3 linked regions of the Oryza sativa Japonica Group genome follow. The protein of the gene in region 3 binds, or shares a complex with, the protein of the main gene of each other region. Links are inferred from orthologs where the notes say so. Each region holds a gene or a part of one and is shown on either strand. Other genes may lie near its edges.

Region 1 (4,410 bases), on a different chromosome or scaffold from region 3:
GATCCTAACAGAGAAATGCATGCCTTAATGTATATCAGCAAGCTATGAAAGAATAGTATGAGTACAAGCTTACAGGAGTAAAAAGAGCCTCAGGAGCTTGAAACCGTTCAGTGCCCACTTTGATTACCCTTCCATCTGGAAGCTGATGACAAAAGTTCAGCCAATAATACAAAAAGGGACCAAATAGAAACAAAGCAGGTTAACATACTTACAGTGTAGCTTTTGACAAGGATAGTGGTTTCAAGTCCTAGCTGGTATTCACGCTTGTAATCATAGCTGTACATATTTTCCCTTTTCAATTCTATGAAATGTGACAGCAAGCTATAGCGAAAACAATTAAGAACAATAAAGCAACTGACCTTAAATAACATAGTTTCTCTTTTATTTCCCGGACTGTTTCAAAGTCGGCAGATTTGTTCATAGCATACCTTTAAAGCACGAAATTAAGTTGATAAGAAAAACACTGAAGCAAACAATTGCATAAGCCTGTGTTTTCAGAGCATCTTTTATCTACAAACATATAAAAATGATAAAGAGTATTACCCTCTTCTTGAGAGTAGATCAACAAGATAAGATGTTATGTGCCTTCCAGCTACATTCATTCTTTTTGTAATATGTGGGTAAGAGAATCCATCAACTACCGGCACCTGGATCATAATAAACATGACGGGCAAAAGTAAATCTAGATAAAACTTTCTTTCACATTGCAAATTGACAATAGTCAGTATTCAATTGCTTAACTTTTTGTGCTTACTACTTACTACACACGTTGGTGATAACCTTACAATGTTAACTGGCTATGTGCGAGAATAACTAAACGGGCACTAGCATGCCATACTAACTATGGACTATGGAGTATAGTTTAAATTATCATTTTATTTCCATGATCGACATTTTGACCAGAAATCATAGATTATGGTGTTCAATGGCTGTGATTTCTACTAAGCCGCCTACAAGGAAACAAGGTATGCATATAGTCTTGGTCATACATCTTCACTGGATCAACAAAAAAAGGTAGATCCTCTTAGTTGTTGAGTTGAGGAATACCCATTAGCACAGTAGAAAATTATAAACATGCATCAGATAGATATTTTTGTAGTGCACCACAAGATTAACAGAAATGGAATCTCTGCATTTCAAATCTTTGTAGATTGTACAATATAGGGAAGACTATTATTATCATACCACATGAGTGACACCATCACCAGAGTCTATGACAAGTCCAGTCAGCAAACCTGGAAAGGATACAAACATAATACATGTTAAGAAAAGAACCAGTACATTTTGTGTTTGTAGGTGTGCAAGCTCATACATGTGTCTGTATACTGAGAGGGGGGGAAGGGGAGAGAGAGAGAGAGAGTACCTTGAGCATATAGCGAAAGAACAGCTTGGACCTGGATGAATACCCCAGCAAAGTTGTATTTCTCAAACATTGTCTCAATCTATTTATCGTAGGATTCAATTTGCTAGTTAGTGATATCTTAAAAAACAAATTTCATAGTACAGAACAGCCAGATGGGAGAAAACAACCTACCATTTTTTCACGATTTTTCACAGGATTGAGTGGTGGATCTGTCAGTAGAATTTTACACTCAGAAGGATCAACCTAAAGAAACAAAATAGAAATACATTGATTTACCTAGAGCTAAGAGATTTCAAGACACATAACGGAGAATGTTGATGAATTATGAGCATATAAATTTAAAAGGGTCTGATGTTAAAGTAATATAAATCATATGAAAAGTCATACTTTCAGCTCACTGTAAAATGCATGATCCCATATATGGCCCATATCATCCCAACTTTGAACAATCCCATTTGTAACAGGATATGATACGTCAAGTTGATGCCTCAAGTCAGCACAAGCCGCTCCAACCACAATATCCTGCGTGGAACACAATCACAATTATAAGGTGTACTGAGAGAGAGACAGAATGAGGGAATGCCAGAAACACAAAGATAGACATTGATTTCAGACCGTCAATTCCTGCTCCTGGAGTGACTCCTCATAACGGAGCAATGGTCGCCCAACAACACAAGGGAACACAGATGTAGGGAAGTTCTCTCCCGCAAAGCCACACTTTACATACTGCAACATTAGCCATTAGGTACCGAATTAGAAATTAACAAGATCACCTATGAATATGATATGTTCTGCTGTTGTTTAAGGCTTTAAGCATATCGAACATCAAGCCACAGGAATGATGTGGAAAATACTTAACAGAAACTAAGCCAAAGACAACAGCATAATTTCTTTTGGACCGCAAAATATCAAACTAATGTGGTTTATATGAATGAACATTATCTATTCCAGTTCCGCATTTGGAAGGACATTATCTAAAGATTCAACAGAGAACAATAATCTCATCGTATTACAGCAATTTTTCCTGCCTATGTGGAGAACAATAATTCCACCATACTAGAGCAATTTCCCCCTTCAATTTCTTGCAATGTGCACACGTATCATTTCATCCTAGATTAATTACAGCTCAGTAGTAAGCAGCAAAACTTATTCGGCACAAATGAATCTAGAGCACAGATGCTAATTACTCCCCAACCAAAGAGAGAGAAACAATCCTATCGTATATATTCAGGAAATTTCAGAAGAAATCCAAGAAACCGTCCAAGAAGAAGAACCGGGACGGAGGGGGTGCAGATCTAGGGGCAGGAGCGTGGAGGTAGAGAGGGAGGGAGGGAGGTCGCCACGCTGGATCAGGGATCAGGCTGCGGGAGGAGGGGGGGAGGGCGGGCTTACCCCGGTGCCGTTGTCGCACACCACCACGTTCCCGCTGTCCATTCCGCCTCGCCGTCGCCGTCGCCGATCGTCTCCCCGCGCGCGCTTGGGAAGTTGGAAGGGAGAGGGGGAGGAACAGAAGGCGAGAGAGTAGGGGAGGGACGGGGACGGGGTTGGGAGAGTAGTCATTTGTCTCACTGACACGTGGAGCCCATTGCCATCGGGCCCACGTGTCAGCGACCACGTCTCTCCGATCTTAAGCAAGAGGATTTTGATAGAGGGAGCTAAATGCCTCCTTTTAATTTTGTCTTCACAAAATTATCATCCAATAAAGGTGGTTTGTTATACTTTTATCTACATGGCCCGCTAGCATAGCAAGGTTAGCAATTTCTTTATATTTCATTTCTTCGCTAGCTGTTAAAGCCTAACAGCCACCTTAATCATAGCAAAGTCCCTATCGTTGTACCCGCTAGTTGTCAAACTAGCTCTAACATGAAGGAGGGCGTCAACCCTGACGATGAGGTGACCGCTTGAGCTCGACAAAGACAAGGTGTGCATCTTGGAACTTGGGTGGCGACGAGCTTGACGTCACATCCTAACCTGGGGAACCCTACGCCCTCTAGTTCCTCTGCCGCCTAGGTCTCTCTTCACAACTGTTGTCCTTGGAGACCCATTGTTATTAAAAAAATACCTCCACTTCTAAGTGGGGACTCCTCCTGCACCAAACTTCCTCTTATCGCCTGGCGAGTTATTTGGCCTCAACGCTTACCTTGTGCTAGAGCTCCTCCAACAATGAGCAGGCATGGTAACAGGGAGGCTTCCGGCAATTGGTAGGGTGGCTACCAATCTACAACGGCTAGCGAGGTGGCTATAAGATTGAGACGACCAGCATGAAGGGGGTAGTATGGTGAGATGAAGAGGGAGAGAGAGGCACTAATCGGGCGTTTAGAGGGTTGCCACCTAATAGTTAAATTTGTCCTCAATTGAAGGGACAGATACTCACCAAGCTAGCGCTACCGCTGGTCAGGAAGCCGAAGCCAGACTAGTAAAAAAACGTTTTTTACCAACGACCAAAGCCTGAGCTGGTTTGATTTGCTAATAGTATTATTTGATTCAATAAATGGAGAATGTAATAATTTTATATGTAGTAGATATAGTGATTAAAAGTATTTGTAAAGATTGAGCGAGTATATTAATGTAAGCCTGCATTTTACTTATTCGTCTTTTTCTTCTCAAATATTGCTAGACGTCTTCAAATTATATTAGTTATAACTATAGTTCACACAATTCAATAATTTAACCTTATTGTCTAAAATGATGCTATCTTATTACGATTGGGAAACTTTTGTTGTTAAGTTCTTAACACGATAAAATTTAGCTACAGGTTATAAGACCTACTCTCAATTTTATTTTTAATTTAACTTCAGAATACTAAAATAACGATTAGCAACTTTCTATAACTTAAAAAAACCAACGTATTTCACATATGATACAATTCAATAGTTTAACCTTATTGTCTAGAATGATGTCATCTTTATATGATTGCAAAACTTTTTGCTCTTAAGTTCTTAACACGATTTTTTTTTTAAGAATTACACGGTACAACACAGACACTCACAACGCATGCACACTCACCCCTATGAATGCGTGCACGCAAACCCTACCCCTATGAGCAT
Region 2 (4,190 bases), on a different chromosome or scaffold from region 3:
TTTCTTTTTTTTTTGTCGAAGAGGATTTACACAATGTAACAGTTCTGTTGGGCGTTGCGTTGGTGGTCAATAATGCTTTTCTGAACCTATGTATGAATACCTGGCATTAGATATCCTTTGTGTCGAATGATATTTTGTTTTTCTGAATCTATGTATGAACACCTGGCATTAGATATCCTTTGTGTCGAATGACATGGTGACTGACAAGCCATAGAGCTTGAATATCACCTCAGGTCTCAGTGATGCAATGGGCTTTGCATTCAAATCGTTTATAAGCACCTTGTATCAAAGAATGCTTCATCGAATAATGAAATTAACCATGCCAATTCACACTTGAGGTGTTTATAAGCAGCAGTTTACTCCCAACGTTTGGCAAGATCAGGGAAGCGCACGTCCAGGTTTCTCCATATCTTATAATCATATTGAAAAAAAAACAGATAAAGGATTAACACGAATGATACAAAAAAGAGGGATCAGGAAAATATATATTCACATTCTCATTACACCTGATTAAATCTGTACAAATGTCCTACACGGAACATTCGCTATTCAAACATCATCTGAAAAATACATGCCCAATTTAAGGGCACGGACGGAGTACAATAAAAATGAAAAATAGAAATTCAACATAACAGCTGAAAGGTGTCCTTGTGTTCATCCATTGCAATAAACAAATTGTTGACATTCTATCCATTGTTTCATTAGAACCTTTGGCTCCATCAATCGAGGTGTAGAATCATTGTCGTTCCTTTAATTCTCTAAAGTATTCGCAGAAATAAGTACGCAAGTGCAATTACCATTCCTACAAGCTGCTCAATTGCTCAAACATGTCGCGGAAAATACCTATACTTCAAAGAATGACAATGTTCATGAATTTCCTCTTTGCAAAAGCCAACCACCATTTGTTTGGAGTACCATTAGCTCTGTATGCGCAGTTAAGCAACCTTCCACTTGTTTCCTCCCTTATCTGCTTCAGATAATTCCTCAATAGTTCTGAATCCAACAGAGAAATGCTTAATTGAGATCACATTCCATGAGAGATGGAAAGTTACTGTTTTATTTAGTCCCTAGAAGTAAAAAAAAAACTGATGCAATTACAACTTGGATGTTCCTAAAAACAGTTGTCAATAGTCAGTAAGCAACTTATTGCTTCTATACCCAGAGCAGACTTATAGTTTAGACCATAGAAATTGACAAAAAAAAAACATATATACAGGACATCAAATAAGGAGTTCACTACAGATTTAGTTAAATCCAAAATAAAAGTATCTAAGACATAAATTGCTGTAGTTTGGAAAGGTCCCCTTGTAATCTCACAAAAGCTAAATTTCCAATAGGCTTCATTCTTTTGTTTTTTCCCTAGCCAGGACAAATAGTATGGTATAGAAGAAAAGCAGCATGGATAAACAATTGGGGGAAAAGAAGAAAAACTAACTATTCGAGAAATAAGGCAAGCTTTTCTCTAGGAATAAAAAGCAACAATGATTTCACACAGTTGAGAAACTACTCCCTTCGGACTGATAATACTTATCGTTTTAGACAAGGGTGAGGTCAAATTTTAGAATCTTTGATTATGAATCATTTTTAAAATATGGTGACTACATGTATAGATTAGTCTTAAAAAGTACTTTAATAAAATCATATATTTGTTAACACCTTTATACATATTATAATTAAAAATAATGGCCAAAGTTGTTTTTTGGAAAGCGTGCTCTTGTCCAAAACGACAAGTATTATCAACCCGGAGGGAGTAAAAGAGAATACAAGCACACAAATGTGGTAGTGGCGGATGAAGTCATATACCTGCTTCCTCCTGAGATTGGGGTAGAGTGAAAAGACCAGGGAAGGGAAACCCTGGTTCCCCAGGCACAGGAACTTTCTCCAAACCCAGATTAATGATTGCCTTTGTCCCAACAGCCAGTGTTCGGCAACCTTCCAGCCTTTTCAGGGCAATATTGATGTAAAATGTCAGATAGATCAGTAACTTGTCTGCTGGGCTTTTCACATTGAAGTTTTTGAAGAAGACATTTGCTCGGAAGAATGTAATTGCTTCATCAACAATGTCAGCCTTGTCTGTAATAGCACGACATAAATCAGCAGCTTGGCATGGTTCTGTCAGAGTGAAACCACGGAAGTATATCACAATGTATTTTATGTTGTCACCGTGTCAGTATACCTTGATCGAATGCTGGCGCTGGGCCCCTTATATGAGTTTTTAGTGGAAGCAAAGGACAGCCGCATGCTTTGGTAATCCCGGTGTCATCAACAAAGCTAGAGTGATAAACCTGTCCACAAGTAGAAAAAAAGCATATGATGTTCAGATAACGGTACATTGCAAGCAAGTGAGCAACAGCGATCTAACAAAACAAGGTGGAAATACAAGGAAAATTAAAGGTGAAAACCGAGCAAAATTCTTGTATTCCACACAGGGCCTATAACACACCAATCTAATAGAACAGGTACTAAAGTATCTTCCAAGACCTCCATTCAAGAGTGCCACAAGCTGCCAATATTATGTACAGGAGCGGATCCAACTTGGGACATGGGGGTTCAAACTTCTCGGGGAATAAACAAACTGTTACTTGTATTAAGGTTAAGGCTCTGAAATTAAGGGAAGAGCTTCTTCCAGATCTAGAAGAGAAGCTAGGGTTAACGAACGAACGAACGAACGCAAGCAAATTCCAGACAAAAGTAGTCCCGATGGGAGAGAGAGAGATGAATCAGAAAGAGGATGCGGATGCTCACCATGAATCCTCTCCCCTGCTCTGCTCGCCCCGATGGAGATCGCCGCCCCTCCCCTGTTCAGCCGCGACTCGTCTCGGCGGCGCAAGGAGCGGAGGAGACAAAGAGACGGGAGATTTTCTTTTCTTTCTTTTACGCCACAAAGGGAAGGGGAAGACGCTCAGACTCTTACTATTGGGAATTATTAAGAATTTACCGCTGGTCCCACATGTATATACGGACGGACGAGTCTACGGATCGTGCGTCTGATCGGTTTGGAGAAAAATCGGACGCTTTACGTGAAAAACTATTTTAAACTGATTTTTCTCTTAAATTACTTATCCATATCATAATCCGATTGCATCATTAAATTCGCTGCAATTAAATCTTCAAAACAAGGCCACACAGGCATATATTTCGACGAAAAAAAATTTACCTTATTATTGAATTATTTTTAAATGTTGCACGATGTTCCACCAGGTATATCGGAATTGTTTTACTAAGTAGATCGAAAATATTTCACTCGTTTCAATTGGGTGTTGTTTTACCTTATATAAAAACAATGTTTCAGCAAATAGTGAAAGAATGTTTCAGTTCACTGCAACTTTTGATCCATATATAGTGAAACATTATAAGTACACTAGGTGAAACATTTTTCGGTGGAACAAAGAATAAATCAAATTCCCTTAATAGGGGGTTTCCAAAATATGTGGGTTTTTTTGTTGCAATGGAATATTTTAGTTCACTGCAACATTAGATCTATACATAGTGAAACATTATGAGTACACTACGTGAAACTTTTTTGGTGGAACAAAAAGTAAACCAAATTCCCTTAATATAGGGTTTTCAAAATATGTGGGTGATTTGTTGCAATAGAGTTGTGTGTGTGGACAAGTGGCAGGTGGGGACAGGGGACATGTGGTGGGGGCCCAAAGAGATTGCTGGTGCGCACGTGATGGGGGAAGGGTGGAGCGACCGATTTTTTCCCCTCCCCTCGCGCGACCGAGAAGGAGCATTCTCGTGTCATATACACATAAGGATCCACGTATTATAGATTGTGAGTAGTAAATTCTTAATTACCATATTTTAAAAATGGTAAAAAGTTAAAAGCTCTAGACGAGTACTCTCACCTTTATGATATCTCAATATTTTACTACTTTATAAGACTAGCTATTTCTTTATAATGACTATTTCTTTATAATGACTAGTGGTCCACATTCTAAAAATTAACAAACTCAGTTAGCGATTTGAGTCGACAACAAACTCTTCATACTACCAGTAACCACTAACTATTACTCCACGCACCGCCACCACCACTCTTTCTTTATGAGCCACCATCGTTTCTCCTCTCTGTCTTTGCATGCGCAACTGCACCCTCTAGTTGCACTCCATGAGCCATCTTTTTTTCCTCTCCCTCTTGTCATGCATACTATTGTAGCGACTCACGGAGGCAGGAGTCGACCCGATGA
Region 3 (4,188 bases):
TTCTAACACATCCTTTGTCATCTTTTAGAAATTAGACAATAGCTGATGGATTTTGTCACTTCTTACATGTAGTTCTCTTTTCATACGCTTAAAATAAGTTGAGCATGCTTACCACATGAATATTTTTATGCTTGCATTTACAATGGTTGCTCCATTGTAAATACCCTCTTCTGCTAGGAAGTTTCTCTGATTCATGTTATTGTGTAATATTTAGGGCTGAAAGCTTGTATGGAGGCTAAAGAACCAGTCCCAGAAGAGCCTTATGAGATCAGTTCTGATGTTCATGGCTCCTTTGATGGCCCTCGCATGGGAAGACTACGAGCAATGCAAAATGTGTGTATAAATTCACTGAGTAAATAAGTCAAAGTACAAGTTCAATCTTCATGGAGTATTGATCCCATGTGTTTCTTGTTTTCTAGGCACCACATCTGTTTGCAGGATTGACCTTTTACTTCAGTGGCCATTTCATGCCCAATTACAAGGTTCACCTTGAAGATTTGATCACTGCAGCTGGGGGATCAATCTTGGACAAGGCTGATCTCTCTAGCACATCCTTGATAATTTACAGCATGGAGCCACCACAAGGAAGTGATCCTGATACCCTTAATGAGGTCATCAGAAAGAGGAAGGCTGAGGCTGAAGAATTGGCGGCAACGATTGGCTCCAGGGCTGTTCCTCATACATGTGTTCTGGATTCTATTGCATCATGCACAGTGCAATTGACCATGTGATGCTGTATCTTAGGTTAGGAGTTAGGATGTTACTGATATGTTCTTGAGTGAAAATATCTTCTAGATGTTGTAAGTTGTAACGTGAGCAAGCAATTTAATTCAAATAATATTGATATGTCTCTTTCCATTTTCTTGTCGGTGTCGTCATTTCATATGTTTCACCTACCGGCTACCGCCGGGCGCAGTTGGTCTAATATTTATTTTGCAAAAAAGGTGAGCCTTGCAGGCAGGGTTACTCCCAAATCTGCTTGAGTTGATTGGGGAAACACCTACTTGCCGTTCTTTTTCTTTTTACCAAAAAAACAAAAAAAAACTTCTTGGCGGATTTGAATCACATCAGTGCTTCGGTGCTACTAGTATTCAAGAGTTCCTCTGTTCAGCTATGGAGTTTAATTATTCACTGCTACAGGGATGATGGGCAAAGGCGTCAAATGATTGTGGAGTGCATTTGAAACAAAGCAAGGAATTGAAATGGCTGAGCTCAGCTGGTTGCTTCAGATGTTTACCAACAACAGTAGAGGTCCCCTTCAGGCTTTCAAGTCTCACCAGTCAGACGGTCACCGGTGTCCCCTTGCTGCTGTTGGTGTCCCATGATTTTGTTCTTTTCACCAGACCCTCGTCCTCGTGCAGTGATGTAGAAGCACTTCTGCATCTTCTCTTCTCCCACCACTAGGCCCCTCTATAATAAGGAGCCAGCAATTGATGCTATGCGGTAACAGTGCTAGCTCCATGGCGTTCTTCAGCAGCGGATCGCGGGCGCTGGTGGAAATCCTGACGGGATTGCAGAGGTGCGTTGCTGTTGGTTAATCTTTCCTTCTCTTTCTTTGCCAGTGAAAGCGGAAATCTTTTTTCGATAATTGAATTCAATCCAGTCTCTACATTGAGGTGAAAGCAGAAAAGTTGTCTGTGTGCAAAGGTTGGCTGCCTGAGTTGTGCCGCTCCTACATACATACATGGATTGGTTGACGCAATGTGATCAGAAAACTATGTTTCTCTTGATCTTTGCAGTGTTGAACGACCTATGCCTGTTGATCATACCTTGTTTGAGTTTGGATCAATCCGTTACCATTTACAGGTAATTTTGCTCCAAACACCTTTGATGCATTATCTTGCAATTTGAAACAAATAATGTAGGGCATGGAAAATGATCATATAATACGCATCAAGTATCAACCAAACAGAACATCTCGGCACTTACAATTTGCATAATTGTTCAGGCTTCTATTACAGATTCAGAGAACATATACTTGTCAATATCAACACCATCTCTTTCTTATGAGGCTTCGCCATCCAGCGGCTTGCCTGAAATCACATTACAGGAGACAAGGAAAATGTATCACAAGTTTGCAGAGATCATCGAGCCTGCAAAAGAAGGATACACTTTGACACTGAGACTGAACTTCTCTGGCCTTACTCGACCGAAAGGTATGAGCATCCTCAGTCCTCACACCCTGTTTCAGTTGCTGTATTTGGTGATAGAAATATTAGCCAAGGCAACTGCAGGTCTGCAGCAAACAAGGATTCGATGTAAGAACGATTGCTCTTTATGCAGATCGCACCAAGGCGATCAACCAGATATCGTTGCTGCAATCCGTCATCCTTAGCTCGCAGCTCAAGGACATGCTGGCGAGCCTCGGCTCGTCCGGCACGATGAAGCTCGTGTACAACCAAAGGGACCCTTTCTTCGTCAGCAAAACGGTACTATCCTAAGCTACGCAGATTAACAAAAGCTTCACAGGTAGAGCAAAGCATCAGCACGGCTCGCTGACGATGCGGTTCTTGGCCTGCCTGCAGCCGGTGAAGATAAGCGCCATATTCCCCATGCGTTTCAGGGACGACACGGACCTGGCCATCGCGTCGTCGTTCTTCCAGGTTGGGCCGGCGCCTTCTGTACGTACTTTTTTGAGTTTTCTGGTTAGCTCCGAGACCTGAAGAAAAAAAACGACAGGAGCTACAGGACCTCGGGAGCACGTCGTCCTTCTCCAGGGCGCCGCGGTGCAGCTGGTCGCCGATCCCGCCACCCGAGCTGCGCGGGGAGTACGTGCACCACCTCACCACCAACGGTGGCTTCGTGTCCTTCGGTACGTAGCAGTAGCACATATCGCACGCGGCATCCGCGTCCGCTCGCTCGCTTGCCCCGCACCGCACCAACCACGCATATTCTCCGTTTCGCCCCCACGCGGCCACGCCACGGCACCGTGCCGACGCGCGCGTTTTGTGTGCGCCCGCACCGCGCGATCGCGAGAGGCCGGCCTCCGTTCCGCGGCGTCGGTGGCGACTACCGACGCGGCCCTCGCGAAACGAAACCCGCGCGAGCGGGTGCGCGGGGCAAAGTAGCCGATCCGGACGGACGAGGCCGCGGTGCCCGCGGCTTGGGCCGGCGCTTCTTGGGTTGGGTTGGGTTGGGTACACTTCGACTTTGGACTTTTGGAGGGTTGACGCGTGCGGGTTTGGAATTTGCAGACATCCTGGCGCGGCACGTGAAGGGGAGGAGGGCGGCTAGGACGGCGTGGATCCTGCTCAATTTCCAGTCCTACGTGAAATACCATATCAAGGTAGGATGCGGCATCGCACGCTGGTTTTGTGTGCTACTACATGATTATATCGGCGTTTTAAATTTACTGGGAATGGTGTGGTTTTACTGACGGCGAGAAAGTTCGTGTGCGCAGTGCACCCGAAGCTACATCCAGAGCAGGATGAGAAAGCGTCTGGAGATCATGACAGAGGTAACAACTCCATACCATTTAAAAGAAACATTGGGTATCGAAGGAGTGGCAATTGCTTTAAACCGGGCTCGCTGTGCTTCAGGTGATCGATGACGCGAAGTTCAGAGGAAACGATGAGAGCAGCAAGAAGCTGCAAGGTATTAGTACCTGGATACTGCAAGCTCTCGATACTGGCTCACTGGCTGACCGATCTTATGCTCGCGAACTCTGATGTCGCAGTGAGGAAGAGAAGCAAGAGAAGATCAATCAAATTCGCGAGAGCCAAAAAGCTCCAAAAGGGTTTCAAAGCTGTCATCGACAAGATCAAGCGGCTGCGGCTGAGGATCAGAGTGAAAGGCCTGGACCGGTTCAGGAGGCACTGCCAGTGCTTCCCAGTGCTCAAACTGACCATGGCACAGAGGAAGGAGCAGAAGTACCAGAAGCTGGAGTGAATCCTAATCAACTTTACGACTAATCACTTTTTTTTTTCACAGCACAGGCACAAGCGTGGTGATACATGCATGCTGACTCTTATCCTTTTTCCATACTGATCAAGTATACAAATCTGGTGAGTGATGAACATCCATTCAGATGGAGGGCACTACCATAGAAAAAGGCTAACAGGAGGACAGACAGTACACGGTTATTTAAAAACCGTTACATATATCTAAAAAATATCATAGACGACTATATTAGGAATTGTCTATGATAAAAAGCATCTAGTGTGTTTTTTTTCTTTTGAAAAGCACGAA

Evidence for each region.
Region 1: actin-related protein 2/3 complex subunit 2B (region 3) and actin-related protein 2 share a complex: the UniProt entries of both Arabidopsis thaliana proteins name them as parts of the arp2/3 complex. The link is inferred for Oryza sativa Japonica Group from reciprocal best matches to the Arabidopsis thaliana genes arpc2b and ARP2.
Region 2: actin-related protein 2/3 complex subunit 2B (region 3) and actin-related protein 2/3 complex subunit 3 share a complex: the UniProt entries of both Arabidopsis thaliana proteins name them as parts of the arp2/3 complex. The link is inferred for Oryza sativa Japonica Group from reciprocal best matches to the Arabidopsis thaliana genes arpc2b and ARPC3.

The regions. Positions count from the first base shown.
Region 1 is NC_089042.1:17,335,542-17,339,951, forward strand, and holds the start of actin-related protein 2, read right to left. Parts: upstream 2,911-4,410; 5' UTR 2,798-2,910; coding exon 2,756-2,797; intron 2,090-2,755; coding exon 1,979-2,089; intron 1,886-1,978; coding exon 1,751-1,885; intron 1,607-1,750; coding exon 1,535-1,606; intron 1,443-1,534; coding exon 1,364-1,442; intron 1,236-1,363; coding exon 1,186-1,235; intron 648-1,185; coding exon 544-647; intron 429-543; coding exon 360-428; intron 277-359; coding exon 213-276; intron 143-212; coding exon 74-142; intron 1-73. UniProt on the Arabidopsis thaliana protein: Functions as ATP-binding component of the Arp2/3 complex which is involved in regulation of actin polymerization and together with an activating nucleation-promoting factor (NPF) mediates the formation of branched actin networks.
Region 2 is NC_089036.1:7,667,504-7,671,693, reverse strand, and holds actin-related protein 2/3 complex subunit 3, read right to left. Parts: upstream 2,884-4,190; 5' UTR 2,749-2,883; coding exon 2,746-2,748; intron 2,286-2,745; coding exon 2,177-2,285; intron 2,074-2,176; coding exon 1,804-2,073; intron 1,068-1,803; coding exon of another isoform or gene 1,057-1,067; exon of another isoform or gene 994-1,056; coding exon 851-993; 3' UTR 459-850; downstream 1-458. UniProt on the Arabidopsis thaliana protein: Functions as a component of the Arp2/3 complex which is involved in regulation of actin polymerization and together with an activating nucleation-promoting factor (NPF) mediates the formation of branched actin networks.
Region 3 is NC_089038.1:26,109,182-26,113,369, reverse strand, and holds the start of actin-related protein 2/3 complex subunit 2B, read left to right. Parts: upstream 1-1,322; 5' UTR 1,323-1,433; coding exon 1,434-1,519; exon of another isoform or gene 1,520-1,603; coding exon of another isoform or gene 1,604-1,647; intron 1,648-1,739; coding exon 1,740-1,806; intron 1,807-1,948; coding exon 1,949-2,156; intron 2,157-2,283; coding exon 2,284-2,429; intron 2,430-2,525; coding exon 2,526-2,603; intron 2,604-2,679; coding exon 2,680-2,812; intron 2,813-3,194; coding exon 3,195-3,286; intron 3,287-3,400; coding exon 3,401-3,457; intron 3,458-3,539; coding exon 3,540-3,594; intron 3,595-3,676; coding exon 3,677-3,888; 3' UTR 3,889-4,188. Other genes in the region: BRCA1-associated RING domain protein 1, read left to right, coding at 215-333, 420-731. UniProt on the Arabidopsis thaliana protein: Functions as actin-binding component of the Arp2/3 complex which is involved in regulation of actin polymerization and together with an activating nucleation-promoting factor (NPF) mediates the formation of branched actin networks.